Linked DNA regions of Pelodiscus sinensis. The protein of the gene in region 3 interacts with the protein of the main gene of each other region in a pairwise test. Links are inferred from orthologs where the notes say so. Each region holds a gene or a part of one and is shown on either strand. Other genes may lie near its edges.

Region 1 (10,477 bases), on a different chromosome or scaffold from region 3:
CAGAGCTAGGAATAAGACGTAGGTCTCTTGACTCCTAATCCTGAGCTTTAGTCACTAGACCATGCTTTCTAATTTAATTCAGTCAGCTTCCTCTCATTTCCACTGAAGTATTGCTACAAAGCTTTGCTGCCACTACAAATGGAACACTCGACTTCTATATAGGACATTGAAAAGAGACAGAATGGATTTATAATTAAATAAAGCAGCATGAGTGGTATTTGATAATTGTACTTTAAGAAAAAGCTACTGATAAACATTTTCTTCAGTTCATTTTATTTGGGCTGCATTTCAAAGTAGGTTGATTGGGTTGCATTTAATTTTGCTGTACAAGTGCAAATGGGTTATATGTGATCACGAAGGTGAGATTTTTTTCAAAATGTCATGTAAACAGGGGATGTCACATTATAGAAATCCCACAAATACTTTGTGTAAGTAGATGGCAACGTGTATTTTGTAGCTGTGCAGATAATCAAAAGTTGTGCAAATTAATTGTTTTTAGCATATAATGCTTTTCTGATTTAAAGGCTTAAGCTTTGAAGATCTGTTGATAATAAGGACACTCCCAAAGACCCTATTGCTGCATGTGTTACTCGGCACACTGCTTAGTCCACTGAATCCTAAGGGACTACTCACAGTAATAAGCCCTATGCTTACTAAAGTTAACAAAAGCAGGAATAATAGTTAATGGTTTCACTGTATAAAGTTTTTATATGCAGCGTGTACACAGTAAATCTGGACAGTTTTATGTAACTATGTAGTAATATTGTAATATGACCCCACTGCACATCAAAATGTCTCACAAAACTCTTCTTCACTCTAATGAAAAAGCTGCCTCATTCTTATATTATGAAAAATACATCACTGATCTCACACTGTTAAATCTCAGAAATTAACAGTAAAACAATATGAGTGTTCTAACTAATCATCTACTACATATTTGACAGAGTCTGCCTGTCTGTTCAAGAACTCCTAAATGGAAAAAACTAGGATCACCAAATTCAGTATACAGTTTCCTATCATAACTTAAAACAAAGTAAGAGTTTGGGTTATACCTGGTAAATGGAATAAGCCTAGAATGGGACTGAGTCTCATAAAACCATACCAAAGAGACACAAAATCACTAGGCAGGTGAAAAGGGGTGGCTGGGGGCGTATCCCGGCCCACATCTGAGTTTGCCCTAGCCCAGCCTCCTACTCCCCAGGATTCCCCCACCCACCCCAATTCATAGAGGAATATTGCTGGTTGATCCCCTTTGTCAGAGAATGAGGGGAAAGTGCACAGTTTGCCACATTGCTCACCATGGCTAGGGAGATCAGGGGGTAGATGAATCCATACTTGTCCTAGCCGGGGGACATGCACCCCATCCCCCAGATGTGCCCACTGGAGCTGCAGCAGCCACTGAGAGGCACTTCTCACCTTGTCCCAAGATGCTATGGTGACAGAGGGTCGAGTACTCCTCTCTCCCTGAGGGCAGCCTGAATACTGAACCCTTAATCCCCAGCCACACCCCAGAGCAATGATTCCAAAGAAACATGTACATTTTAAATTTTATTTTCCAAAAAACCAAACTGATTGAGTTAAGGACCCAAGCAATACTGGGTAAATCTTCTAGTCATCTATATTAGATGCACCATGGTGGAACAAAACATGAAAAAACAATACCTCATCCAGCTCCTGATGATTTGTTGATTCCATCAGCCCCATCCATTTAGGGACAGCAAAAGGTAAGAGAGAGAGAGACACAGAGACACACACATAGGACAGAGATAGGGTACAGTCAGTTGAGAAAGTACTGAAGCTTTATTTTTTTTAAATAAATAGACTGTTTACCAAGAACAAACCACAAATTATCTTAAAACAATAATGGCTAATTAAATTACAGCATTCTCAATGTATCTACATAAGTATTTACCCTGGAACACAAAAGCACATTTTTCTTTAAAATGTATTTTGGTTTTTTGCTGGTAAACAAGAAAATAATTGTTTGAAAAAAATCAAGAAACAGTCAAGAAATTGATTTAAATGCAATTTAACATATGACTTTGATTACCATCAGAAAGAAGAATTGCTGTGTAAAACATGTTTAATGTGAGCTAGAACAGTTTAATATAGCAAGGATCATGTGCCCATAATATTCAACATCCAGTATACACTTTGACACATTTGATTCAAGAAACAGATAGGAGGACCTGTATGCATTATGATTTGATACTTTTATTGGGTAAAGCTTGAAATGATGACTCAAGACATACATTTACTGATAAGCACTACAATCGCTTTAAGAGGAAATGGGAAAAAACAAACAAAAAAGCCACACCCAAACACCAAAATATAGAACAACTACTATATATTTTCAACTTTACCAGTTTAACAACTGTGTTTTCAGGAGGATAATTGAAAAATTAAAAGCAAATGTTAATTTGAAAGCAAGGACAAAATGTTTCAGAGGTAAAACGGTGTCTCATGCTACATTTAAATAGCTCTTATAGTCATATACTCAGCTTTAGATATAAAAAAAAAAGGATTTAAACTTTGCCTGAGTAGCTAAAATTCCAGTTACATTGATTTCATGACTGTATCAGAAGGCTGAACTATTCTAATGCAGAATAAAAAATAACTTTTTACAGTAATTCATTGTATTTATGAAGGGTGGTAGATGAACAACTCTTGAACCTGTTTATCCAAAAACAATGTAGTTACCAATTAGACTTTGCCACCCTGCCAGTGTGCTTTAACCCTGCTTCGGAGGCACCATATTACAGAGGACAAGGCAATTTGCATAGATGCTATATTAATAAGTGTAGTGATAGGTACCTCAAACAGATAAATGGAAGACAATTCAATCTATGCAGTTCTTTACAGCCGATCCCCGAGTTACGAACGAGTTATGGACCAAACGCTTGGCCGTAACTCGGAATGATCGTAACTCGGAACCCATTGAGTTACATTGCGACTGCGCTATTCGTAAGCGCGGATCGCATTTGTAACTCGGAGCCTGCATTTACGACCGCTTTGGTCATAAGTGCAGATGGTCATAAGTCGAGGTGGCTGTAAGTTGGGGACCGGCTTGTACTTTCTTGTAGAGACAAACATGGATGTAACTAAGTAGGAATTATGGAACAGACATCTGTCCACTACTAACTTGGTCCAACTATTAATTTCACATGAGGAAAAAGACTGGCATTGGAAAAGATTCAGAAAAGAGCAACAAAAATTATTGGGGTTTGGAACGGATGCCATATGAAGAGAGATTAAAAAGACTGGGACTTTTCATCTTAGAAAAGAGGAGAATAAGGGGAGATATGATAGAGGTCTATAAAATCATGACTGGTGCGGAAAAAATGAATAAAGAAAAGTTATTTACTTGTTCCCATAACATAAGAACTAGGGGTCACCAAATGAAATTAATAGGTAGCAGATTTAAACAAACAAACAAACAAACAAAAGGAAGTTTTTCTTCACACAGTGCACCGTCAACCTGTGGAACTCCTTGCCAGAGGATGTCGTGAAGATTAGGACTTTAACAGCTTTCAAAAAAGGACTAGATAAATTTATGGAGATTAGGTCCATCAATGACTATTAGCCAGGATGGGTAGGAATGGCATCCCTAGCCTCTGTTTGTCAGAGGCTGGAAATGGATGACAGGAGAGGAATTATGTGATGACTACCTCTTTTGTTCACTCCCTCTGGGGCACCTGACATTGGCCAGTGTTGGAAGACAGGATACTGGGCTAGATGGACCTTTGGTCTGACCCAGTATGGCCATTCTTATGTTCTTATGGGGCAACAAGGAGACAGTTAAGTTTTTCAATCACTGCCAATGTTGGCTGCATTTGTACCAGCACTTGGCAAAATAGTTTTTTTCCCCAACAATGCCAGTAAAGACTTTGAAAATGTAAAGCATAAACAAGTGCTAAGTATTACTATCCCATTACCTTTTCAATGGAAACTGAATCTGATTGGTCAGTTGTTTCTATGCTTGTTTTCATCATCAGTAACCTTTCTAGGCAAGTATTAAAACTTTAGAATGTCTAAAAAAATCTTGGTGATTTAACAACCTCTAATAACTATGTGTACAAATACAATTTTAGAAAAGCCAAACAGAGTGCCAGAATAAAATACATTTAAAATATATTACTAGGTGTGACCTTTACTGTTCTGTAAAGGTAATACTGTAAGTAGCTTGTACAAAGATAGGTAGGATAAAGCTAACTATGGACAAAGATTAGTCTACTGCAGCACCTATGTTGGAACAGAATTTGTAGCATTAATTATTGTTTCTCCTTATAGAAAATGCATTAATGAAAAGCAAGAGAAAGAAAGGAGGACCCATTTATTTAGAAGAGGCTTTTCTAGATAAATGAGAAGACTGACCTAAAAGCAGAAATGGACGAAGACAATGCTATACTAACAGGCTATGCCTACATTGGCATGATCTTGCGCAAATACTCTTTAACGCAAGAGCATCTACACTGGCATGTGCCTTTGCGCATCAGGCTTTCTTGCGCAAGAAATTCATGTTGCCTGTCTACACTGGCCTCTTGCGCAAGAACAGTTGCGCAAGAGGGCTTATTCCTGAGCGGGAGCATCATAGTTCTTGCGCAAGCACTGATTTCACACATTAGAACATCAGTGTTCTTGCGCAAGAATTCCCCGCCAATGTAGACAGGCAGCAGGTTTTTGTGCGAAAGCGGCTGCTTTGGTGCAAGATCGCGCCAATGTCAACACAGCCATATAGTTTCAGTTACCAACCAGAAGTCTACATGGCTGGCCTGTCAAATGTGGTGCTTCATTACTTACTGAAACCCAATTTTTAAACTCAATTCAAATTGGCCCTGTTTATGTGCATTTACAAAAGCCTCACTCTCTTGATAATTATTTCATACATGATTCAAAGCAATACTGGAATTTGACGAGACCATTTATAAACAGCCACAGGTATGGAATGAGGATTGCACTTGAGGATTGTGCTTGGTGGTATCTGCACTGTGTATTATAACAACTTTGCAATAGAACACAAACAACAAAAGCTATAAAAACCAACACAGAAGAGGAAATAATAAGAAATTAAGGGAAAAAATGGAAGGTTTTCACTTTTCATAGTTAAAGCATTGAAACTGGGGCCTCAGACGCTGGGTGTGTGTGTGTGTGTGTGTGTGTGTCTGTGTGTGTGTGTGTGTGCGCGCGCGTGCGCTCTATGTATATATTACCAATGGAGAGAATACACTCCAAGCATCCATCCTGCAAAGTGGTGTACACAGGTGTACTCTTGTGCCTGCAGTCCAATTAACTTCTACTTTTACTATTTTACTATAAAGTATTTTCAAATAGTTGAAATGATGTTTAAATGACTGTTTACTTTGAAAAAGGAAGAAAAGAGAACGTCTCAAAATAAGAAAGGGTTAAAATAACGGTGGCAATTTGCATTATAGGTTTTAACAGTGCCTACAGCAAAGTGAGAAAAGATCAGAATGAAAAAGATAGCTTTATTCCTTTTACCTGAAAAAGGGGGCGGGGTCAGGAGAAAAAGGAAAGACAACAACTTAATGTCTAGTGATAATATGAGGCTATTTAAATAATAATAATAAAGTTTATTATTTAAGGAGCAAACAGAGAAGATCAATAAGAAATGACATATATATTCTATTCATTTTACATGGGGCAGGGACAGTGGGCAGGGGGGTGGTGTTAGAAGTGTGGGACATAGAGGAGATAGGAGAGAAGGAAGGCAATTGGAGAAAAGGGAGCTTGTAGAGTAAGAAAAAAAGAGCAGGGTGAGGAGAAGAAAGGGGAAGGGGGGTTTGAGGGGAGAAAGGTGAGGCGAAGGGGTGACTTAGGAGATGGGATGAAGAGAGGAGGGAGGAGACAAGGAGGACACCTGCTGTCTGACAGTCCTAAGCAGATAGCACTAGAGCAGCCAGTGTGGGATACAGTAGGATGAAGGGAGGAGACTCACCGCAGCAGCCATGCTACGTGAATTCAGAGGGCTGGAGGAGCTGTAACTACTCACTTGCTCGGCCAGCAGCTGCCGGTTTTGGATCGCGTTGTTCCGCAACAACAAGAACGCGTCTGTTAAACGCCGGGTGGCCATGGCTCTACTTTTAGGGGGGCCCCCGTGCACTCCTAGGGGCCCGAGTCTTCAACCCCCCCTGCACTCCCAGGGGTCCCCGGATTCCTCAACTCCCCTTCGAGATGTACAGCCCCCCGACCGGCCCCCCAATGGCTTCCCCACCTAACGGCTCCCAGGTCAGACCTGTGCCCCCCCCCTTTCCCGGGAGCCCCTGAGCCTCCCCCGCGGGGCCTGCCTGGGGCTCCCGCCCTAGCTCAGCCCGGATATCCCGGGGCGGATGCAGCGCCAGTCCCCGGCGGCTCCTTCCCGCCGCTCACAGGGACTAGGGAGCGGGAATGAGCCCCGGCCCCGTGTGGCAGCCCCGGGCTCCATCCATCCTCCCCCCCCCGGATCTGACTGCGGCCCGGCTCACTTCCGCGTTGTGCATCACTAGTACTTGCCTCCCCCCGCCCGCGCACCGCGGCACTAACGTTCCGGCACCAGGGCGGTCTGGCTGGGCTCCCGAGTCTGCACTGTTTGGGGCAAAAGGGGTCAAGTGGGGCGCCCTAACGGGAGGGCAGCAGCTGGTTCACTAACCTCTCTGCGACTAAGCTCCAAAAAGGGGGGAAGTGTCAAACTGTTAGTAGGCTAAAGCATGCAGAATGTTATAGGGCTGCCAGGTGTTGGGTTTTGAACAGGACAGTCCAGTATTTGAGCTTTCTGTTCGGGAAACAAATTGAGAAAATGTAAATGTCTGGAATTTTCTAAATAAGATGTAGATTGTGATGTAATATCAAGTGTGTCCCGTATTTTTGTTGAAACCATCTGGCACCCCAAAACAGAAACTATGTGTCAGGCCCCCAAATCATGAGATTTGGCTTTAAAAGCCTGAGCTGTTAAACACACACATGTTGGGTTCTGCTGATTTGCCTTCTGGTTTCCCAGCATTTCCTGTTTACATGCTTCAGCTTTTCATTGCAACCAAGAGTGCAGAAAATGAGCTTCTCGTATAATTACAAGACTCCAGAAGTGCTAGCCTTTGCAAGGTTCTGGGTAAAATCGTGACAGCTGGAAACACTTATATAAGCATCAGAGTAACAGGGACTAGAGTGAAGAATATATTTTAAATCTTTATAATTCAGCCAAAACCAAAACAGATTTTCATCAGACCATTGAAAATGACACACCCAAGTCTTTGCAGCACTGAGGCCTATATCCCTCTCACCTTGCAAATTTCTAGAGTCTTGAATGGAGGCAATAGAACTGTTCAAGAAGAGGTCCCAAAATCTTCTCTACTATATATTTTAGAAATGTGGGTTTCTGTCTGTCTGTCTGTCTCCATCTGTGAGTCCGTTTGTTCAAGAACTCCTCCTAAACCATAAGAGCTAGGATCACCACATTTGGTATGCAGCTTCCTCTTATCATAACTTAAAGCAAGATTCCAGGACAATGAGATGTGCCTGGAATCAGATTGTTTTCCATAACACAGAAGAGCAGAGTTCTAATATTCTGGACAGTTATGTTCCTCAGTGACCTTAAGGGGGCAGTGAGCGCAGGGGAACAATATTATTCCAGAGTGACCAGAGAGGGATAGCTGCACCAGTAAGAGAGTGGCCAGCTGGGGCTGGAGCTTTCCATGTTGTAGGCCACTGTCTGGGTATGTGGCCTCCCTCTCTCAAAGCCTCAAGCCAAACTCCCTGGCATTCGGATCCAGTGGGGGGGAAGGAAACCCCGCTGGCCAGCGTCCCCACCCAAAGGACCATCTGCCTGGCAGAGCTGGACAGCATAGCTTCCACCGCTGCACCCCACCACAGGAGAAGCCACCAGCAGGGCAGCACAGCTCCACCCCTTCCCTGGGACTGAGCCGCTGGCAGGACAGCACAGACCCAGCTGGCTTTGGGCCTCCTCTAAGCCTTAACTCGCCTGCCAATCTCCCTCCTTAGTCCTGAGCCTCCCACCCACCTGCCTTGAGCCTTTCGTACACCTGCCAAACTCTTAAAAAATAAAGACACTGAGGTCAGATGAGTTCTGAGAAGGCTAAGTCAAAGGGACTTGCCTCAGGACCCAGGCGCACCATTCCAATGGGACTTGAACTCCACAGAAATCTCTATCTAATTTGTCCATCATCATGGCTTGACTTCGCGAACGAGGATCTAGGAAAGAAATCCACGTCTTCTGCAGGCACGCTGGTGGCTGACAAGGCCTATGCGGGACAGGCAGGTCCTGCCACAACGGCTACAAATATAGGTCTGATCCGGGATAGGTGCTGAGGGGTCACGGTTCTTCTTCCTTCTCCTTTTGTCCTCCATACAGGCCCTGCGGGTATCTTCGAAGAAGGAGGTGGCCTGGTGGACTGTATGCCGCCAGGAGTTGCGATCAGCTGCTTGTGTTGCCCACTGACGGTGATCGATACAACAAGCAGTGAGGGACTTCTTCAGGGAATCTTTGTACCGCTTTCGTGGTGCCCCTACGTCGCGGAAGCCAGAGGACAGTTCCCCATACAACACGATCTTGGGTAGGCGGTGGTTCTCCATCCTGGCGATGTGCCCTGCCCAGCGAAGCTGTATCTTGAGGACCATGGCCTCGATGCTGGTGACCTCCGCTAACTCGAGGACTTCAGTGTTGGCGACGAAGTCACTCCAATGAATATTGAGGATTGTGCGGAGGCAGCACTGATGGAAACGTTCGAGGAGACTCAGGTGACGACGGTACGTGACCCAGGACTCAGCGCCATACAAGAGAGTGGTCAGCACAACAGCTTTGTAGACGCTGACCTTCGTGTCTCTTTTGAGGTTGCTGTTGTTCCAGACACGTTTGTATAGTCTGCCGAATGCACTGTTTGCCTTAGCCAGTCTGTTATCGACTTCTTTGTCGATCTTGGCGTCAGACGAGATCACGCACCCCAAGTAGCTGAACTGGTGGACAACTTTCAGTTCTGTTTGTTCAGTGAAGATGCTTGGTGGATGGTGCTCCTTGTGGGGTGCAGGCTGATAAAGAACTTCAGTCTTCTTCAGGCTGACTTCAAGACCGAAGATCTGAGCAGTTTTTGCGAAAACAAGACGTAATTCACTGCATAGCTGCCTCTGTGTGAGCAAGAAGGGCGGCATCGTCAGCAAACAGCAGCTCCCTGATCAGTTTCTCCATGATCTTTGTGTGGGCCTGCAAACGCCTCAGGTTGAACATGCTCCCGTTGAGACGAAAACGGATGTATACGCCATCAGCGTTGTCGAGGTCCTCTGTGACCTGCTGGAGCATCATGCTGAACAAAATGGTGAACAGTGTGGGAGCAAAAACACAGCCCTGTTTCACCGTTTGCAATAGGGAAAGGCTGCAAGAGGTCGCTGCTATGTCTGACTTGTCTAAGCTAGTCTTCATGAAACTGGATGATCATGGTGAGGAACTTCGGTGGGCAGCCTAGTTTTTCCAGGATTTTCCAAAGTCCCTGCCTGCTAACGGTGTCAAACGCTTTTCGCTTTTGTCAGGTCCACAAAGGTGACGTACAACGCTTTGTTTTGCTCCCGGCACTTCTCCTGAATCTGCCTCAGGACAAACACCATGTCTGTGGTTCCCCGGTTGGCTCTGAAGCCACACTGTGTCTCTGGGAGGTGATCTTCTACTATCACGGGTACCAGTCTATTCATCAGTACTCTTGCAAGGATTTTGCCGGCGACGGACAGAAGTGTTATGCCGCGATAATTGGAACAGTCTGACTTCTCCCCTTTGTTCTTGTACAGGGTGATGATGACTGAGTCCTTGAGGTCATGAGGGAGTTTACCCTGCTCCCAGCAGCAGACGAAGAATTCATGGAGTTTGGTGTACAGTGCTGGGCCTCCGTTCTTCCATACCTCAGGAGGGATGCCATCAACTCCTGCAGCTTTACCACTCTTCAGCTGTTCAATGGCTTCCTCAGTCTCTTGTAATGTTGGTGCCACATCCAGTTCAGTTTTCACTGGTTGTTGTGGGATGCGGTCAATCGCTGGTTCTTGGACTGAGCAGCTAGCATTGAAGAGGGTGTAGAAGTGCTCAGACCAGCGGTTCAGGAGACAGTCCTTTTTGGTGAGCAGTTCTTTCCCGTCTGCACTCCGCAAGGGGCTCAGGATTTGGTACGAGGGGCCATATACCGCTTTTAGAGCTTCGTAGAATCCCCTGTAGTTGCCAGTATCAGCGCAAAGCTGAGTTCTTACTGCGAGGTTGGTCCACCACTCGTTCTGAATCTCTCAAAGCTTGCGCTGGAAAGTGTTGCATTTCAGGCGGAAGGCTGCTTTTTTGTGCGGGCAGGATGGTTGGGCCAGGTGGGCTTGGTGTGCTGACCTCTTCTTTGACAGCAGCTCTTGGACTTCTAAGTTGTTCTCATCGAACCAATCCCTGTTCTTCTTCGTGGAGAATCCGAGGATATCTTCAGATGTTTGCAGAACAATGTTTTTGATA
Region 2 (10,477 bases), on a different chromosome or scaffold from region 3:
ACAAGGGGGATCCAGTAGATATTATATAGTTAGATTTCCAGAAAGCCTTTGCCAAGGTCCCTCACCAAAGGCTCTTAAGTAAAGTAAGTTATAATGGGATAAGTGGGATGGTCCTTTAGTGGATTGAGAACTGGTTAAAAGACAGGAAACAAAGGGTAGGAATAAATGGTCAGTTTTCCTAGTGGAGAGATAACTAGTGGGGTTCCCCCCCCAAGGCTCTGTCCTCGGACCAATCCTATTCAACTTATTTATAAATGATCTAAAGAAAGGGGTAAGCAGTGAGGTGGCAAAATTTGCAGATGATACCAAACTACTCAAGATAGTTCAGACCAAAGCAGACTGTGAAAAGCTTCAAAAAGATCTCACCAATGATTCATAAATGTCTGCTTCAATTACCTTTGGTAAATGAAATCATTCATTTTCAGGTGTAGCTATAAAACTTATCTGAGAAATTTTCAAAATAAATCACTATTTAAAATGTGTAGTGTGTACCTTCTAAAAATGAAACCTACATCTATCTCTGAGTTGTGAAAAATATGTATTAAGGGTAGAAAAAACAACAAGAATAAACGTAACTGGCTCTGTGGAGATAGGAAAATCAGTGGATATGATAGACCTTGACTTTAAGCAAAGCTTTTGACACGGTCTCCCACAATATACATGCTAGCAAGTTAAAGGAATATGGATTGGATAAATGGACTGTAAAATGGATAGAAAGCTGGCTAGATGATCACTACCCGTTGGGCCTGACAAACGGCTTGATGTCAGGTTGGCAGTCGGTTTCTAGCAGAGCGTCCTAAGGATCTGCTCTAGGACCAGTTTTATTCAACGTCTTTATTAAAGACCTGGATGAAGGGATGGATTGCACCCTCAGCAAATTCGCGGATGACTCTAAGCTAGGGGGAGAAGTAGATACATTGAAGAGCAGGATAGGGTCCACAGTGACCTGGACAGATTAGAGGATTGAGCCAAAAGAAATCTGATGAGGTTCAACAAGGACAAGTGTAGAGTCCTGCACCTGGGATGGAAGAATCCCAAGCATTGTTACCGGCTGGGGACCGAATGGCTAAGTAGCAATTCTGCAGAATAGGAACTGGGGATTACAGTGATGAGAAGCTGGATATGAGTCAACAGTGTGCCCTAGTAGCCAAGAGGGCTAATGGCATATTAGGGTACATTATAAGGAGCATTGCCAGCATATCCGGCGAAGTGATTATTCCCCTTTATTCGGCTTTGGGGAGGCCACATACGGACTAGTGTGTCCAGTTTTGGGCCCCCCACTACAGAAAGGATGTGGATACATTGGACAGGGTCCAGCGAAGGACAACCAAAATGATTACGGGGCTGGAGCGCATGACCTATGAGGAGAGACTGAGGGATTTATGTTTGTTTAGTCTGCAAAAGAGAAGAGTGAGGGGGGATTTGATAGCAGCCTTCAACTTCCTGAAGCAAGGTTCCAAAGAGGATGGAGAAAGGCTGTTCACAGTAGTGACAGATGGCAGAACAAGGAGAAATGGTCTAAAGTTATAGTGAGAGAGGTCTAGGTTGGATATTAGGAAAAAATTATTTCACTAGGAGGGTAGTGAAGTACTGGAATGGGTTACCTAAGGAGGTGGTGGAATCTCCATCCCTAGAGGTTTTTAAGTCTCAGCTTGACAAAGCCCTGGCTGGGTTCATTTAGTTGGGATGGAGTCCTGCCTTGGGCAGGGGCCTAGACTTGATGACCTCCCGGGGCCTCTTCCAGCTCTATGATTCTATGATATAGAATACCATGATTAAATCCAGTCTTCCTGGAGTAGTGATTTAAATAAATTTTATTTAAAATCAAATTCACCTTGAAGAAAAAAGTGAGGGAGGATTTGATAACAGCCTTCAACTTCTGGGTGGGGAGAGTGTTCCAAAGAGGATGTAGAGAGGCTGTTCTCAGTGGTGACAAATGACAGACAAAGGAGCAGTGGTCTCAAGTTGCTGTGGAAGAGGTCTAGGTTAGATATCAGGAAAAAAGATTTCCTAAGGAGGGTGGTGAAGCACTGGGATAGATTCCCTAGAGCGGGGGTGGAATCTCCATCCCTAGAGGTTTTTAAGTCCCGGCTTGACAAAGCCCTGGCTGGGATGATTTAGTTGGTGTTGGTCCTGTTTTGGGTAGGGAGTTGGACTTGATGACCTCCTGAGGTCTCGTCAAATTCTATGATTATCCTGTGGGAAGCAAGTGTAAGGAAAAAGTGCTCAGGAGAGCAGGCAGTTTTTTAAAGACACATTATTAATTGCACAAAAGAAAACTATCCCAATGAGGAGGAAACATTGGAAAGATGGCAAGAGACAACCCTGACTTACTCAGGAGATCTTCAAGGATGTGAACTCTCTGAACTCACAGTACAAAGCAGCAGTACTGAAGCCTCAATGGTTCAATCTTTGAAGGCAGTCAAGCCAAATGACCTACCCTGAGGGAAGGATGAGATTCCTGGGGATCTGGTACATCCAAGGGGTTCCTCCAAGAGACTGTTCAAACCTGGATAGCATTTATTTTGTGGCTCCATTACACTACTTATTCCAGAACAAGGCCAGGATCCTTTGGAAAACCATATGGGCTCATATAATTAAAGACAGTATCATAACAGACCACTGGCAGGGGAGGAGGGAGGTGACAGCATTAAGATGTCATGGGCAACCTTGACTCTGGTATTTCCTAATTTTGAAGGAATTGACTTTGCTACTTCAATATTCTTCTTATAGGATGCTTTTGACTTTATTATTTAAACATATGTATTTGCATAAGGCAAACCCTCCTGCTTTACGGCATCAGCCAACACCTGGCAAGACTCAGCAATAACTTCCCTATATGTTGATTATTCCAGAATAACCCATTGGGAGGTTTCTTGTTCTTTGCTCTGAACTAGTTTGTACTGGCTACTGTCACCAACAGGCTACTTGACTGACTGAATCACTACTTTGCTCTACATTTCTGCACTACAGAACCTCTGCATATAAATACTTGGGTATTCTACACAGATACAAATAGGCACGTCTTAAAGCACAACACAGTCTCTCATGTCTTAGTTCAAATGGGTAAGATGTATAAGGGTGCAAGTGGAACACCAATGGTTTGCCTAAAACGTCCCAAACAAAACAACTAACAAAAAAACCGAGAGCTTGCAGAATCTTGCCTGGAAGGATGACATAGGCAGAAGGAAGCACACAATTTATTTGTAAAGTAAAACTCTGGTCATCTGAAGAAGTGGGCTGTGTCCACAAAAGCTCATGATACCATCTACATGTTTTGTTAGTCTTTAAAGTGCTACCAGACCATTTGTGGTTTTTTAAGTTTATCCTGTACAGACTAACTCAGCTACCCCCAAAGCTTCCTTTATTTGAAGTTTTAAAGCTGAGGAGGAGTCAAGTACTGTGCCCACTGATCACCTTCAGAGTTAAAATAGGAACCATATGACTGTGAAACAGGTTCTAGGCCAAGTTCTGGGGCCTGAATAAAGAATGAACAGCTTCCACCCTACTCCATCCCTTGTTGCTGTCGCTGGCTGAGCTAGCACTGGTCAGATTACGCCTCCGAGTGGTAAAAACAAGAGGAATGGAGAAAAATAAGAACAGGAAGCAGGGAAGAAAGAATCAGTCAGGAGGAAGGCATGTGTGCATACCAGACTGAAAGCAGGGATCTATGTCCCTCCTACCCCATGTGGCACCAGCCCACAAACTCCAGCTGGGGACACCAGCCTGGATATGAGATGATCAAACACTCTGCACTGTAATGGTGGCGGGGAGGAGGCGCAGGGCGCCAGCAGTGAGTGGCGGTGAAGTGACCTACAGGGACAGCGCAGGCAGGGGCTGCGGGCCCCTTCCAAGGGCAGTGCGGCAGCTCCCTGCGGGCACGGGAGGCGCTGCAGCCAGCCAGACTCCAGCGGCTCCCGACGCCGCTGCCTTGGGCGGGAGGCCGGGAAGCCCGTTCCCGCGCACAGGGCGCCGGCTTGGAGCAGCCATGGGCCCGGAGGAAGTGGCGGCCTGAGCCCACAGAACAACTTCGGACCGGCCGGGTCCCCCCGCCCGTCCCCCCCCCTGCCCGGCCCCCCCCTCACCTAACGCGCCCCCGCAGGTCTTGACCCGAAAATCCTCCAGGGTCTTGGGAAACGCATCGAACCGCTTCAGCCTCCACAGCGACTCCATAGTGAAGCGACCCCGACCCGGAACTAAAACCACTTCCGGGCGCCAGACCCTACTTCCGGGCAGGACCGCTCGGAGCCCCTCGCGGCGCAGGGCACCCTGGGAGCCCGCCCTGTGCTGGGGCGTGGCCGGGACCACGGTGCGGCAGTGGGGTGGCCGCTTCAGCCCTGATGGGTTCGGGCATCACCCCCCCCCCAGACTGCCGGGCCCCGCGCAGCCTCAATCCCACACTGGACTCTCCCTCCCTATGCTGCCGCCCTGGGCGCCCCGAGTAGCTTCCATTAGCGAAACGGAAGTTGGTGAAGGACGAAGTGACGTGAGCAGTCTGGACGCGGAACGCCAGGGGAGTCACTTCGTTCCGCGATGCATCCTGGGAGTTGTAGTTTCCAAAGTGCTGCCTGCTGTGATAACCTTGTGACCTGCGTGTCTCAGCAAGTGGGAGATCTCAGGGGATCTCTCAGCCCCAACCCCCGCCCCTCCCTTCCCCCTACACCACTACCCCGCCAGCCATGGGATCCCTCAGACCCTGTGTCCTCCAGCCCAAGCTGCCACTGTGGTGAGAAGGGATTGGAGAAAGCAGCCAGGAAAGTTGCAGCCCCCCCGCCTTCTCTCCACAGCCCCATCCCTCCTTTTTCCCAGTCCGCAGAACCCCTCAGGCCTCTGTCTCCTCCCTTCGTAACCCACACTCCTTTATAGACTCCTAGGGCAGGAAGAGACCTCCAGAGGTCCTCAAGTCCAGCCCCTTGCCCAAAGCAAGACCAAACGCAACTAAATCAACCCAGCCAGGGCTTTGTCAAACCGACACATAAAAACCTCTCAATATGGAGATTCCACCACCTCCCTGGGTAATCCATCCCAGTGCTTCACTGCCCTCCAAGTGAAATAGTTTTTCCTAATATCCCACCTAGACCACCCCACTGTAACTTGAGACCATTGTGCCTTGTTCTGCCATCCGTCACTACTTCCCAATCCTCTTTGGAACCTCTCTTCAGGAATCATAGAATACTAGAACTGGAAGGGACCTCAAGAGGTCATCGAGTCCAGTCCCCTGCCCTCATAGCAGGACCCAGAACTGTCTAGACCATCCCTGATAGATGTCTATCTAACCTGCTCTTAACTATTTCCAGAGATGGAGATTCCATAATCTCCCCAGGCAACTTATTCCAGTGTTTAATCAATGACCGTTAGGAACTTTTTCCTAATGTCCAACCTAAACCTCCCTTGTTACAATTTAAGCCCATTGCTGATTGTCCTGTCGTCAGAGGCTAAAGAGAACAATTTTTCTTCCTCCTCCTTGTGACACCCTTTTAGATACCTGAAAACCGCTATCATGTACCCCTCTCAGTCTTTCCAAACTAAACAAGCCCAATTCTTTCAGTCTTCCTTCATATGTCATCTTCTCTAGACCTTTAGTCATTCTTGTTCTTCTTTGGACCTTCTCCAATTTCTCCATATCTTTCTTGAAATGTGGTGCCCAGAACTGGACACAATACTCCAACTGAGGCCTAATCAGTGTTTATACGTTTTTGAACTGAAGTTTCTTTATGGGCGGCCAAGGCATCAAAAAGTAGCAGAGATTTGGGTTTTAAAAACCCGCCTTTTTGTGCATGAAAGCAGCTATCTGTCCACATCTTCATCACCTCTGTGTTCATCCATCCCTTCTTGTTACAGACCACAGACATGCCGGCTGGTAGTTTTTCTTGAGGCATCGTCACTCTCTTAACAATTACCATCGGTTTTAATTTCTCACCACCTGCCCTACATGCCAATACGACACTAAAACAGGCGCATTCATTACCTGTGATTGCTACACTGACTGTCTTCACTCCAGTTGCAGCAACCGACCGAATTGCAGGTATATCAAAGGACATGGGCACCTCGTCCATGTTAATGCTGCCATTTGGTTTCAGGCCCAGCTGGTTAATTTCTTGATGGATAAAATCTCTGAAATCATCCATCTTCTCCTATTCATCAGGAAGCCATTGCCCAACACTTGTCCGTGCTTGAACTGAAAGGTTGTTTCATCTCATAAATTTGTAAACCCAGTTACCTGAGCCTCCACGAAAATCATCGATTTTCATCTCCATAGCCAGATGTGATCTAGTGTAGGAGGGGATTGTAATCTCAGGCAGAATATTAGGGTGCCAGATCTGGGAGGGGTGTGGGTGTGAGTAGCGGGGCAGGAGCTGGGGGCAGACGGTTGGGGCAGGGAGGGGCTGGAGTGCCGGAGGCAGGCTCTGGCCAGGAGACTTACCAGCCAGCAGCCAAACCAGCCTGCCTGCCGGCAGAGCTAAAGACCTGCAGAGCTTAAAATGTTTCTGCCTGCTCAGCCCTGTGCTTAAGCGAGTAACTGAGCAGGAGGGGAGAGGGGTTTTGCTTCCTGGCTGCCTGTTATTCAAACAAGCAGCTCCTATTGGCCGGTTTCTGGCCAGAAACTGGTCAATGAGATTGTGTTTGGGGGTGGAAGCAGCATCTGAATCTTCCCCCCTCCCCTCCGGACTCATAAAGAGACAGTGCCCCGCAGTTGCGTTTCTGCGTTCAGTATTTTGCCCAGGCCTGTGCTTGAAACACCCAAGCCCCATTCTCTAATCCCTGTCCCAGCTCAGGGGCCCTCTCAACAGCAGCCAAGAACTGACCAACCCCATAACCTCCCTGAGCCTTTTTCACCTCTCTGGCTCTCCCCCTTCTCTGGGTTTGCCAGTGCAGACTCTGCCCTCCCAAGGACTAACCAGAGACTAAGTGCCTCCAGCCCAGACACCCTGCCCTTCTGCTAGGGTATGACTGCAGGCTCCTTCCCTGCAAGCCCATCTGGCGCCAGCTGCCTGGTTTATAGGCCTTGCCTGTCCCTGCCCAACTGAGCCTCGGATCTAATCAGTCCCTGCTCCCCGCCTCCTCCTCCACCTACAGCCTGGGCACTTACTTAGGCCTGATTTGCCCCCTCAGGGCCAGTGTAGGGAGCAAACAGCCCATCACAGTCCCTCAGCTAGGGCATCAAGTCCAGACTGGCCACTAGGTGCCTGCCTCTTTTGCAGGCCTCTTTTCCTGACAGAAGAACTAATGCACAAGGCACACAAAGCTTTCCCGCCTGCAGCTGAGCTGGGGGGCCAGGCCAGTCTTCGTCCCCCACCGGAGGCCAGAGCTCTCCTCTGTCCAGGCTCTTCCGCGGGCCCCTGGGGTTAGGCCCCCGTCGGGGAGATCTGTCACTGCGATGCTTCTCCAGGGACAGCAGCTGAGCCTGGCCAAGGCTTCCAGCCAACCCCAGGGAGACCTGCTGGCTGGGAGTAGGCCATTTTAGACACCTGCCGACCACCTAGGAGGCTCCTCCCACTCAAAGGGCACCTCTTGTAGGCTCCCCAATCTGGTGGGTTCCCCAGAGCCCTCACCCGCTTGGTTCCCTTCGCTCCCGGACTCGGGCCTCTCTCGGCAGCAGCTTGTGTCTCTCCCTGGGCCCCTCTGACTGAGCTTGGGTAACTTTCACTAGTGCCAGGGGCTGGGTTACTAATCAAAGGCCTGGTGGGGCCTTCGTGAGACAGACTGGGCTCTCAGGCTCCCGAAGGGGCAGCGGCCCTGGGACCCAAACGAACCGAGCTAACTCAGTATTAGCTACCTGTAGTGGGTACAGTCCAGTCGGAGCCTGGTTACGGGCGCCCACGCGTGGGGGGCTGCCCGGCTCGGGAGCATTAGCAATAGGCTCCGTTCAACGGTTGCCATTTCTGTGGCTGGACTATGTGATCTACGTCTCAGGCCACTTCCACTGACACTGGCGCCAAAGCGAGCAGGCTGGGGAGGCGATGCCGTGCTGAGCCCACACACACACACACACACACACACACACACACCCCTCTGTACACACACAGACACACACACCCCTCTGCACACACACACACTCACTCACACACACCCCTCTGTACACACACAGACACACACACCCCTCTGCACACACACACACTCACTCACACACACCCCTCTGTACACACACAGACACACACACCCCTCTGCACACACACACACTCACTCACACACACCCCTCTGCACACACACACACACACACTCACACACACCCCTCTGCACGCACACACACACACACTCACACACACCCCTCTGCACACACACACCCCTCTGCGCGCACACGCACACACAGACACACCCCTCTGTGCACACACACACAGACACACCCCCCTCTGCACACACACACACACACCCCTCTGCACACTCACACACACAGACACACACACACCCCTCTGCACACACACACACACAGACACACACACCCCTCTGCGCGCACACACACACACTCCTCTGCGTGCACGCACACACACAGACACACCCCTCTGCACACTCACACCCCCCCTGCGTGCGTGCGCACACACACACACACACACACCCCACCCCGTGCAGTGTGCTAGCAGCCCTGCCAAGCCCTGCCTAGGTCCTGCTGTGGCCCAGGGCTGGGCTCTGGTGCCCTCTGCTGACACAAAACTGGTAAGGCCAGTTCCATAAGGCTTGCTCGGGCTTTGTTCACACAGATCTCACTGGACCCGGTGTTCTCACACTGTGCGTCGGGACCCCAAAGCGGGCCGCTAAGGCTGGTGTTGGTGCTGGGTCCCAGCAAGTCTGAAAGCCAAGCCCATGCCCCCCCACCTGGGGCTACGGTTACATGCCCCCTGCCCAGGGCAGAAGCCCTAAGGTTCGAGCTTTGGTTCCCCGTTCGGGTGGGCTCAGTCTACAGTTCCCCCTCTGGGATCGTGTGGTGTTTTGGGGAATGTGACCTCTTGTGCCTTCCCACATACATGTGTCGTCTCTGCCAATCAACCACACACCTCGTTTGGAACCAACAATTTGCAATTAGACAGCAGGAGACAGACAGAGAGAAAAGCAAAAGCAGGACAGTCCTGTGTTAAACCAAACCTACTAGCAAAACAAAAGGGAAAGCAGCATTTTTCTGTTGCATCATAATGTTCCAAAGCTGCATTAAATCAGCGTTCAGTTCAAAACTTCTGAAAGAACCACCAGACCATTAAAGTGTTATGAACAATCCCCGTTCCTAAGAAGCTGGTAACTCTGAGAATCACCTGTACTTTCCTAATAATGCCTCTCTTCTTAACCGATAGCTCCCTCCCATAGCGTATATGTCCACCCCCAGCTCTCCCGCCTCAGCCACGAGCCCCTGGCACTGGCTGGGCATGTGCGGGTGTAAATCTGCCCAGGAGAGGAGGGAGATGGACCGGCCCTGAGAATTTATGAATGAGGGGTAGAGAAGCATCCCAGCACATAGGCAGTCAGTCTTGTGGACACACACAAAGCAAAGGGTGTGTGTGGGGGGGTTCTTTCTCCCCTCACCCTCCCATGGCAATACAATGAACACAGCTCCTGGGATTCCACTGGATGCCACTTCCACACCTGCTGGGCCACGCCTGTTGCCTGCCACTACGGGGCTACCAGTGGCCAGGAGGAGGAGGAAAAGGACCATGCAGGAGCTAGGAGCTGGGGCAAGGAGCAGAAAGCACCTGGCTGTCATACTAGCCACGGAGGAGAGGGACAAAGCCCATTGCTGGGGGACAGGTTGGAAGGCTGTTGCATCCAGGTCCCATATCAGCCCCTGTGCCCATGGCAGCTGCCATGTCTGCGGGGCACAGAGGCGTGTAGCCATGGCAGGAAAGTGGGGCTCCTGGCCCTGCGTCAGAGGGGGAGTTAGTGGCAGGGCCAGGGAGCCGGGTTACAGACGGGGTTTGTGTTGCAAACTCCTGACACGTGCGTCTGAGAGCAAGAGCCTTGAACCCCTCAGGGCAGGAGACAGGCCCTGGCTCCAAGGGCAGGGAGGGGGCAGGGTGAGCTGGTTTGTGCCACATGGGACACATTTCCTGGCCAGCCCCAAACTCTCCAGTTCCTTGGGGAATGATCTCCTGACACCTCAAACCTTTTCCACTTTCCTGGCAGCGATTATTGATATGCCCAGCCAAGCTGGCCAGGCCCTGCTCCCACTTAGCGCCTCCCATCCCCCTCTCGGAAGTGGGAGTAATCCTGACCCCCCCCATAAAAAGCGTTTTCTCCTCAGCTCTTGCTTCCCAAGCCCCTGCTCCCCTGGCTCAGCCCCAGCCTCTGCTCTGCTCCCCAAATGTCCGTGCCCAGGGCAGTGCCTGGCTCACTAGGGATGGAAGTGACTAGACAACAATCCAATAAGCAAAAGCTTAACGGATAGTCAGCTAGTCCCTTGACTAGTCGTTCTCCCCCCCCCCTTTGCTGCCTCTGTCAGAGGCAGTGCGGGCAGAGCAGGAGCCGGTGCTTAAAAGCTGGTTCCCCCAGCACC
Region 3 (10,477 bases):
ACCCACAGCTCCAGTGCCCTCTGGCCCAGCCTCCGAGAAGAGGGATGTGAACGGGTAACCGGTTAAGCACCATCCTCACTGGGTAGCAGGTAACCAGTGTCCAGGGTAGCAGGTAACCAGTGTCCAGGGCAGCCGCCAACCTGGGAGCCTGCCTAGTCGGTTACACATTAGGCCAACCTGCTGTTTACCTGACGAATCAGGATTTCTCATCCCTGGCTGGGGCCAAGGGGGTTAAACGCAGGCACAGCACCCGCGGCCCAGAGGCCAGTCCCTGTCGGGCTCAAGGACCAGCCCAGCCTTCCTTACGGTGCGTGGACGGGAGGATTCTGAGAACCAGGCGGCCGGCAGGGCCTGTGGGTGCCCTGCCCCGGGCGGCTGCGTGGTGTCTGCAGACTTAGGGCTCTCTTGCTTCCTTTCCCCTCTAATTGAGACGCCTCCCGCCCAAGAGGCCCCGTCAGCTCTGTGTGGGCGGTGCAGGGCCTGGCAGAGAGGTGCTGGCACAGCCGCCCCCTCCCCCCCCACTGCCACCCCAGGCGAGGCCCCCTCCCGCCCGCGCCGCCCATGGGGGATCGCGTGGCCAAAGCAGGAAACAGCCACGAGGGTAAATTCTCGGCACCGACAGGCGGACGCTGTGACGGCCGCGGTTCCTGGAGCGAGGCACCTTGGCTGGCGGGCCCAGCCCCCTGGGAAGTACCCTTTCCGCCAGGAGCAGACCCCAGCCAAAGGGTGGAGAGGCCCGAGCCAGCCCCAGCTGCATCTGCTGGCAGCTGGGACGGGTCAGCTGAGCCAAGTCCCACAGGAAGTGGGACCGGGGGAGCCCTGGGGCTGCGGCGAACGCATGTGCAGGACGCGGCAGGCGGAAGGAAGCTCTCGGCGTGACCCGCGAGGGCTGGGCTGGGGAGGGACAGTCTGGGAAACCCATCGCGTGCGGCAGGGCGCCAGGGGGGCAGGCGAGACCCCTGTGCCCAGCCCCACTGCTGGGACGGCTACGTGCCCCGCCCCTGCCAGAGTCCTGACTCCCAGCCCCCCTGAACCTCACTGCTCCCAGCACGGCCATCGCACGTGCCCACGGCCCCCGAGAAGGCTCAGACATGGATGCCGAAGATGACACCACACAAAGGTCCCTGCTGCTCCGAGCCCCCCCCATCTACGAGCACCTGCGGCTCTGCAGCGGCCCCAGCCTGGGGCTGTAAGGGGAGCGGCTGGGGTGAGGTGGGAGCAGGCACAGGGCTCCAAGTTCCAGAAGGGCAGGGATTCGGTTGGAAGATGTGGATTTGTGGGGGTGAAGCACATGGATGGGGGAGCAGTTGGGTTACGGTGTGCAGGAGCTGGGGTTGTAGGTAGTTGGTGGGGTACGTTGTGCAGGCATTGGGGGCAGCAGTTGGGGTATGCTGTTCGGGGACTGGGATAGCAGCTGGGGTACGCTGTGCGGGGACTGGAATTAGGGTAGCAGCTGGGGTATGCTGTTCGGGGACTGGGATTGGGTATCAACCGGGGTACGCTGTGCAGGGGTTAGGACTGAAATAGCAGCTGGTGTACGCTGTGCGGGGGCTGGGATTGGGGTAGCAGCTGGGGTACGCTGTGTGGGGTTTGGGGGTAGCAGCTGGGGTACGCTGTGCGGGGGCTGGGATTGGGGTAGCAGCTGGGGTACACTGTGCGGGGCTTGGGGAGCACTGTGCGGTCTCTGCCCGTTCTCACAGGCCGTGGCCTGGAGCCAGCCCTGAGCCGGGCGGTTTCCTGCAGGCCGAGCTGTCTGGACGTCCGGCTGGGCCGCGCGGCAGCGGGTGGATGTTTACGGGAACCAGCCAAGTTGCTATTGTTTGTTCTGGGCCCCTGTGATCGATGCCCGGAGGTGGCAAGAGCTGGAAAAACAAGTTGCCGGGCAGGGAATTCCCAGCACTGCGCCTGCCATGGGCTGGGCCCTCTGTGGCCTCCTCAGGCCACTCGCCACCTCTGGCCTCAGCCCCCCTCCTGCAGTGGGACAAACCCCCAGCCCCCCGACCAGGCAGAGAGGTTCTGGGGCCCCGCTCCCGGGGGGGACTGGCACCCACAGCAGCAGCCCCTCCCCAGAGTGTGGCCACAGCCCAGATGGCCGGGGGCTGAGACCTGAGGCTCCTCCTGGCCGAAGGGGGTTTCCGAGCGGCTCAGAGAGGAAGCGCCGGGCTGGTGGCACGTGCTGAGCCCCTGCTGACATGGACAGGTGGGTTCCTCGAGGGGGAGGGACCCACATCTCACGGCCAGACTCCCCTTGCCCCCCACGGCCGAGCATCCCTTGCCCCACAGCATGACCAGAGCAGGGAAGCGAAGGGCCAGGGTCTGTGTGGAGCCCGGCTCCCCTGTGGCCCAGCCCCCACGCTGCCAGCTCCACTGTGCGGGGCGCAGAGCCCCCTGGCACTGGTGCCAGGCTGCCTGCCAGAGCTCACAGGGCTCGCTCGGATCCTGCGTCATCAGATAGGGAAACCGAGGCCCAGAGCAGGGGAGGAGCGGCGGAGGCGGAGGGGCACTCATGGCCCCAGGGAGTCTCGCTGCATAATTTAAATTCCACCCCCCACCCCACCCCCGCAGGACACCCAGCAGCCCTAAGCTGGGCCCAACCGGGCCCAGCCCCGCCCAGCCTGCAGGGGGGCCCCTCTGTCCCATTAGGTGCGAGGACCAGCCCAGAACAAACCCCCTTTCAAAGTGATCGCAGAGGGGAGCCGCCTCCAGCGCAGAGGGGTCCCCCGCTCCCCACTGCTCCCCCGCTGCATGGGGGTGCCAGGAGGGGTGGGCCAGGGCAGGCTGCCAGGCAAAGCAGATTAACACCCCCAATCCCCACTCCATCACAAACCCACGCCAGGCCCATCTCCCAGGGTATGTCTACACTACCCTCCTAGTTCGAACTAGGAGGGTAATGTATGCATACCGCACTTGCTAATGAAGCCCGGGATTTGAATTTCCCGGGCTTCATTAGCATAAGCGGGGAGCCGCCATTTTTAAATCCCCGCTGCTTCGAACCCCGTGTAGCGCGGCTACACGGGGCTCGAACTAGGTAGTTCGGACTAGGGTGCCTATTCCGAACTACCGGTACACCTCGTTTCACGAGGAGTACCGGTAGTTCGGAATAGGACCCTAGTCCGAACTACCTAGTTCGAGCCCCGTGTAGCCGCGCTACACGGGGTTCGAAGCAGCGGGGATTTAAAAATGGCGGCTCCCCGCTTATGCTAATGAAGCCCGGGAAATTCAAATCCCGGGCTTCATTAGCAAGTGCGGTATGCATACATTACCCCGCTAGTTCGAACTAGCGGGGTAGTGTAGACATACCCCCAGGGATCAGAATGGGTGAGACAGAACACAGGCCTCCCCCAACCTGCCCCAGGCACTGGGGGGCACTATGGGAGATCCAGGGGGCTTGACCCCTAGAGCAGGGGGGCACTATGGGAGATCCGGGGGGCCTGACCCCTAGAGCTGGGGGGCACTATGGGAGATCCGGGGGGCCTGACCCCTAGAGCAGGGGGGCACTATGGGAGATCCAGGGAGCCGGACCCCTAGAGCTGGGGGGCACTATGAGAGATCCGGAGGGCCAGACACCTAGAGCTGGGGGGCACTATGGGAGATCCAAGGAGGAGGACCCCTAGAGCTGGGGGGAGGACCCCTAGAGCTGGGGGGCACTATGGGAGATCCAGGGGGCACTATGGGAGATCCGGGGGGCCAGACACCTAGAGCAGGGGGGCACTATGGGAGATCCGGGAGGGAGGACCCCTAGAGCTGGGGGGAGGACCCCTGGAGCTGGGGGGCACTATGGGGGATCCAGGGGGCACTATGGGTGATCCGGGGGGCCAGACACCTAGAGCAGGGGGGCACTATGGGAGATCCAGGAGGGCCAGACACCTAGAGCTGGGGGCACTATGGGAGATCCAGGGGGCTTGACCCCTAGAGCAGGGGGGCACTATGGGAGATCCGGGGGGCCTGACCCCTAGAGCTGGGGGGCACTATGGGAGATCCGGGGGGCCTGACCCCTAGAGCAGGGGGGCACTATGGGAGATCCAGGGAGCCGGACCCCTAGAGCTGGGGGGCACTATGAGAGATCCGGGGGGGCCAGACACCTAAAGCTGGGGGGCACTATGGGAAATCCAAGGAGGAGGACCCCTAGAGCTGGGGGGAGGACCCCTAGAGCTGGGGGGAGGACCCCTAGAGCTGGGGGGCACTATGGGAGATCCAGGGGGCACTATGGGAGATCCGGGGAGCCGGACCCCTAGAGCTGGGGGGCACTATGGGAGATCCGGGAGGGAGGACCCCTAGAACTGGGGGGAGGACCCCTAGAGCTGGGGGGCACTATGGCAGATCCGGGGGGCCGGACCCCTAGAGCAGGGGGGCACTATGGGAGATCCGGGGGGGGGCCAGACACCTAGAGCTGGGGGGCACTATGGGAGATCCAGGGGGCACTATGGGAGATCCGGGGAGCCAGACCCCTAGAGCTGGGGGGCACTATGGGAGATCCGGGAGGGAGGACCCCTAGAGCTGGGGGGAGGACCCCTGGAGCTGGGGGGCACTATGGGAGATCCAGGGGGCACTATGGGAGATCCGGGGGGCCAGACACCTAGAGCAGGGGGGCACTATGGGAGATCCAGGAGGGCCAGACACCTAGAGCTGGGGGCACTATGGGAGATCCGGGAGGGAGGACCCCTAGAGCTGGGGGGAGGACCCCTGGAGCTGGGGGGCACTATGGGAGATCCAGGGAGCCAGACCCCTAGAGCTGGGGGGCACTATGGGAGATCCGGGAGGGAGGACCCCTAGAGCTGGGGGGAGGACCCCTGGAGCTGGGGGGCACTATGGGAGATCCAGGGGGCACTATGGGAGATCCGGGGGGCCAGACACCTAGAGCAGGGGGGCACTATGGGAGATCCAGGAGGGCCAGACACCTAGAGCTGGGGGCACTATGGGAGATCCGGGGGGCGGACCCCTAGAACTGGGGGGCACTATGGGATATCCGGGGGGCGGACCCCTAGAGCTGGGGGCACTATGGGAGATCCGGGGGGCGGACCCCTAGAACTGGGGGGCACTATGGGATATCCGGGGGGCGGACCCCTAGAACTGGGGGGCACTATGGGATATCCGGGGGGCGGACCCCTAGAGCTGGGGGCACTATGGGAGATCCGGGGGGCACTATGGGAGATCCGGGGGGCGGACCCCTAGAGCTGGCACACCTAAGCTGGCTGCCCCTGGGGAAGGGTTTGCCAGGGGAGCTGCCCGGCTCTGCTGCACTCAGCAGGGGCAGTGCCAGGGGCCAGCGCGACGCCCACGCGCAATAGCAGGCCCCACTCTGGCTGAGGCTCTCGGGGGTCATGGCCCAGCCAGGGGGCCCGGCTTCCCCGAGCTCGGCGGGGCCTCGGCCGCTCTCCGGAGCGCGTCCTGCGCATTGGGGCCTCCGCGCGCCCTGGCTGCGCCCTCCCCGGGCAGGGGCTGCGGGGCTATTCCCCCCATGTCGCATTCCAGGGCACTTGGCCTCGCAAACCCATTTCCCTGCGTAACTCCGGCCCCGGCCCGACACGCCGCTTCTCCCCGCCTGGAGCACGGGGCTTCTTGGCTCGGCGGCCAGAGCCAGGCCCCTCGCAGGGAGGGTGACCCCGGAGGCAGCGTTGCCTAGTGCACGGAGCATGGGACTGGCCCATGGGAGGTCTAGTCCACTGAAGTTCTGGGTGACTTTGGGCCCGTCTCGTCCCTGCTGCGTGCCTCAGTTTCCCCAACGGTCGCTGGGGGTAAGGGCGGCGACCTGCGTGGTGAAGGGCTAGGAGGGCCCCGGGGCCCTACAGCGGGGACCCCGTCAGCCCCCACAGGCGCAGGGCTGGTCCGTGCGCAGCCGGCTCTGGGGCAAAGCGCAGGATGTGAGCCCTGGTGGGGGCGCGGGGAGGGAGCGGAGCCGCTGGCGATGGCACAAGTCCGGGAAAAGGGGAGGAGACACCGATTTCGAAGGGGGGCAGGCCCCGAACAGCCCCTCATGCCCCCGCCAGCGGGAGCCCCACGGCCGGGGCCAGCGGACCGCCGCGGGCGCAGGGCCCCGGACAGGCCCCACGAGGCGCCCAGAAACCGAAAGTGCCGCCCGCGTCGCGCCCCTCACCATGGCGCCGGATCTCAGGCCGCCTGGCCCCGCCGCTCACTCCGCCGTCCTGGGCGCTGCCAGCCGCTCGGGGGCTCCTGGCTGCGGTGCGGTGCCTCCAGCCTGCCCCACAGCGGCCGCTGAGCCAGGAGGGAGGGGCCGGGGCCGGGCCACGGGCAGCGCCCGCCCAGAAAGGCGAAGAGCGCTCTAGAGCCGGCTCGGCCCCGCCCGCAGCGCACGCCGGGCCCTCCACCCTGCCCTGTCCACTCCGGAGCCCCTCCAGGCTGGGGTCCCGCACTGGGCGTCACTCCGGAGTCACGTCAGGGGGCGGGGCGGGCGCTGACCTCTCTGTCTCTTTCCTTCTGTCTTTCCACTTTCACCCCTTTCCTGAGCCTGGGGTGGGTCTTGCAGGGCGGGGAAGGGCGAGATGAGCGGCCCCAGAGCTGGGCAGGAGAATGGGGGTGGTTCCTCACCTGCCTCTGCCACTGCCCTGCTAGCTGACCTTGGCCAAATCCCCGCCCCTTGCGGTGCCTCAGTTTCCCTTTGTGCACAAAGGGGATAATGGCGCCTCGGTTGGGACTTGCTGTAGAGCTGTGGGGGAGGGGCTCGAGCCAGGCCCAATTCCAGGAGGACAAGTCTCAAGGTTACCCTCAGACTCGGTTTCCGCCTGCCAGGAGCTGCAGGGAATCCAGGGCTCAGCTGTCCCGAATGCAACAGGAGGCAGGCCCGGGGGTGCCCAGAGTGCGGGATGTGGACACGGCTGCATGAAAACCCTGCAGCTTGGAAGACAAGGTTGGGGGGCAGCTGCGAGGGGGCTAGAGAGGCTCTCGGGGATGCGGGAGCAGAGGCTGATCAGCAGCTGTGGGCAGGAGCGGGGGCACCTGCTGCTTTGTCTCTCATAGGCACCCTAGGGAACAGCTTGGGTTCTCCAGTGGGCACCTCGGTTACTTTCCACGCACCCAGGTGAACTCTGGACTCCCAGCCAGCGGGGGGGTAGGGTGGAGGGGAGAGGAAGTAGGAAGTTGAGCAAAGCCCAGAGGGGAGCAGGGTGCCTGGCTCCTCCCCAACCTGCAACAGAGGGAGAAGTGCGTCAGTTACAGGCAGGCTGGGTGGCCCCACCTGGCTCCCCGGGGTGGCTGGAGCCTCACAACAGGAGAAGCTTTTCCTGTCACTCTGGCCCAGGCCACGGACAGGGTCTCACTGGCTAAGTGGCAGTTCTGCAGAAAAGGGCCTGGGGATTCCAGTGGACGAGAAGCTGGAGATGAGTCGACAGGGAGCCCTTGTAGCCAAGAAGGCTAATGGCACATTGGGGGGCATTAGGAGCAGCATTGCCAGCAGATCTAGAGAAGTGATTATTCCCCTTTATTTGGCTCTGGTGAGGCCACATCTGGAGTGGTGTGTTCAGTTCTGGACCCCTCCCTACACAAGGGGTGTGGACGCATTGGAGAGGGTCCGGCAGAGGACAATGAAAATGATTCGGGGGCTGGAGCATGACCTATGAGAAGAGGCTGAGGGATTTGGGTTTGTTCAGTCTGCAGAAGAGCAGAGCGAGGGGGGATTTGAGAGCAGCCTGCAACTTCCTGAAGGGGGGTTCCAAAGAGGCTGGCAAGAGGCTGTTCTCAGTGGGGGCAGATGCAGAACAAGGAGCAATGGGCTCAAGTTGCAGGGGGGGAGGTCTTGGTTGGATATTAGGCAAAACTTTTTCACTAGGAGGGTGTTAAAGCACTGGAATGGGATCCCTAGGGAGATGGTGGATTCTCTTTCCCTAGGAGGGTGGGGAAGCGCTGGGCTGGGTTCCCTAGGGCGGGGGTGGAATCTCCATCCCTAGAGGTGTTTAAGTCTCAGCTTGACCAAGCCCTGGCTGGGATGATTGAGTTGGGATTGGTCCTGACTTGGGCAGGGGGCTGGACCCGATGACTCCTGAGGTCTCTGCCTGCCCTGGGCTTCTAGGGTTCTATGAAGCAGCCAGGCCCTGGCCAGGTGGGGACAAAGGGCAGGACTCGGTGGCCCCCCCCAAGCAGAGCGGTGAGCGGGGTCCCCGGTTGTACCTGGACCATGACTGGGCAGTGCGGTCCAGAAAAGGGAGCACACAGGGAAGTGCCATTTGCCTGTCAGCAAAGCCGGGAGCAGTTATGGGGAACCTCAAAGCCTCTGCCCACCGAAAACCAATCCCAGCTCCTCCCAGCGAGGGACGGGGGCCAGCCGCTGCTCCTGCTCAAGGAGACTCGGCAGCCCTGGGACAGCCCCACCCCAGCCGGGACCAGGAGAGTCAGAGCAGAGAAACGCCCAGCACCCCGTGTCGATCCGTGGGGAGCCGGCCAAGCCTGCGGGAAGGGCACAAGGTGAGGGACAGCTCCGCGGGGGGAGGCTGCATGGTTTCAAGGTGTTCAGCTTAGAATGGAGACGCACCCCGGCGAGGGGATACACTAGAGGCCCCACGACCTGCTTGGGGCGGGACATGTGAATGGAGACGTGTAGTTCCCCTTCCCCCAACACAAACCCCAGGAGCCTTGCACTGACAGGAAGAGCAGTAGGTTGGACACAAAGAGGAGGAGGTGATTTTTCTCCCTCCCCCCACGTGTGGCACAATTAACCTGTGGAACTCACTGCCAGGGGATGCTGCAACAGCCAAAAATATCACAGGGCTCCACACAGAGCTGGATACATTCCTGGAAGACTGGCCCCTCACTGTCTGTGAGCTGAGATGCTCCCGACTGCAGCCCTCTGCTCAGGGCCCAAACCTGCCACTGCCCGGAAGCAGATGGGTGGATCTCCCCATGACTGCCCTGTGCCGTACACCCCTGCGGCGCCGGCCCTGCCAGTGCTGTAGCCGCTCCTCTGCCCTCATGCTGCAGGGGCAGTAGAAAGGCTTTGCCCACACTGGTATTGGCACGTGGTGCCACCCAATGGGCGGGCGACCCATGGCAGTGCCTTGTGCCCTACAACCCACGGGCTCCATCAGAGCATGGTGGGCCGAAACCCCGGGATCCTCTGCACCAACCCTGGCTCATCCCCAGTGTGATTTGCAGGACCCCAGCTGTGCCATGTGGGGGGCCCACCAGTGGCACTGGGGATCCTGGGAGTCAGACACCCCCAAGGCCCTGGGGTCCCCTGTGACTGGCACTGTTACAGGGGGGGGGCAGAATGCGGAGCCCCCGCTACTGCTCCAGCAGGACGGTTGTTTACTGTTCAATTACCTAATGGGAAGCGGCTTGAAGGAGGCCTCCCCCCTCCTGGGGCCGGGAAGTGCTGGGCCGTTGACACTTCCTGTCTGACACCCAGCTCAGCTGCTGCACGGTCCCCCTGCGAATTACAATAGGGTTCCGCTGGCAAGGGGCGGGGAGTGGGACCTGGCCCCCAATTGGCTGGAGCTGCTGGCAGTTCAGGAGCCAGCCTTGGCCAGCTCTTTGGCTTAGGGAGCTGGCGCAAGGCCTCAGCATGTTACATGGTAATTAAGGCTCCAGCCACGGTACTGCAAGGAGCTGGCAGGTGACTCCCTGCGTCTGCAAGTGGCTAGTGTGGAGGGGTGTGTGGAGGGCCCCATCCCCCTGCTCTGGTGTTGACTCTGAAACCTAATGGTGGCTTGTGATGTAGTGGGGGGCTGTCTGCTCTGTAATCGGGGTCCCCCTACGCTGTGATGCGATTCCCACTGACTCACCCACACGTGGATTGGTCCAGACACCTAGTCCCAGCCTGAGCAGATAAGGCTCTTCCCAGGGGGAGAGACAAAGGGAGGTAGAGACGGTCAGCTGGCTGGAGGGGGGGGGGGGGGGAGGGGAGGGGAGGACAGGGGCTGGGAGTGAGGCAGTTCCTGGCTGGGAAACATGAAGGGAACAGACTAAGCTGAGGGTTAAGGGGGCGATGGACCCCCTACCCTAAGGGGTCTGAGGCATCCTGGCCCTGGCTCCTGTAGCCACATCACATCTGTGCCATGCTGTATCCCGGAGGAGCAATAAAGCCCCCTGTTCTACTGGCTGTGGAGTCTGTTCTTGCTGCTATGGGGGTGCAGGATCGGGGGACCCCAATGCTCCCTCACAGGGCTCTATAGTAGTTTGCTGTGGATTGAATCCCAGGAGACCGAGGGTATAAAAGGATCTGGGCACAGTGTGTGCCAGTGGCAGCTTAGGGGCGTGGTCCTGGTCCATGGGTGAGGCCTGGTCTATCTCTGAGTGGTCCTTTGCAGGAATGGGGGCTCCACATGGCAGCTCTGGCTGGGTGTGGCAGGTCCCATGTCTCAGGTGCTAGCCAGGTTCCCTCCCAGGAGGAATGGGCTGGGGGTGCAGTGCAGAGGGGCTGTGCTGGGGGCCTGCAGCGAGGCAGGGGGTAACTGAGGTATTGGAGCCTGGTGGGAGCTGCTCCCGGGCCCAGGAGGGAGTGTGGCTGGGGGGCAGTAGGGCCACTGAG

The links.
Region 1: the proteins of VAMP5 (region 3) and STX16 interact in binary tests that used the Homo sapiens proteins (3 or more experiments, as listed by UniProt). The two-hybrid records come from large-scale screens. The link is inferred for Pelodiscus sinensis from reciprocal best matches to the Homo sapiens genes VAMP5 and STX16.
Region 2: the proteins of VAMP5 (region 3) and ERGIC3 interact in binary tests that used the Homo sapiens proteins (3 or more experiments, as listed by UniProt). The link is inferred for Pelodiscus sinensis from reciprocal best matches to the Homo sapiens genes VAMP5 and ERGIC3.

What each region holds. Positions count from the first base shown.
Region 1 is NC_134728.1:12,906,281-12,916,757, forward strand, and holds the start of STX16 (syntaxin-16), read right to left. Parts: upstream 6,484-10,477; 5' UTR 6,092-6,483; coding exon 5,957-6,091; intron 1,675-5,956; coding exon 1,663-1,674; intron 1-1,662. UniProt on the Homo sapiens protein: SNARE involved in vesicular transport from the late endosomes to the trans-Golgi network.
Region 2 is NC_134728.1:31,052,109-31,062,585, reverse strand, and holds the start of ERGIC3 (endoplasmic reticulum-Golgi intermediate compartment protein 3), read right to left. Parts: upstream 4,418-10,477; 5' UTR 4,174-4,417; coding exon 4,086-4,173; intron 1,969-4,085; exon of another isoform or gene 1,835-1,968; intron 1-1,834. UniProt on the Homo sapiens protein: Possible role in transport between endoplasmic reticulum and Golgi. Positively regulates trafficking of the secretory proteins SERPINA1/alpha1-antitrypsin and HP/haptoglobin.
Region 3 is NC_134738.1:5,427,784-5,438,260, forward strand, and holds the start of VAMP5 (vesicle-associated membrane protein 5), read right to left. Parts: upstream 6,345-10,477; 5' UTR 6,098-6,344; coding exon 6,095-6,097; intron 1-6,094. UniProt on the Homo sapiens protein: May participate in trafficking events that are associated with myogenesis, such as myoblast fusion and/or GLUT4 trafficking.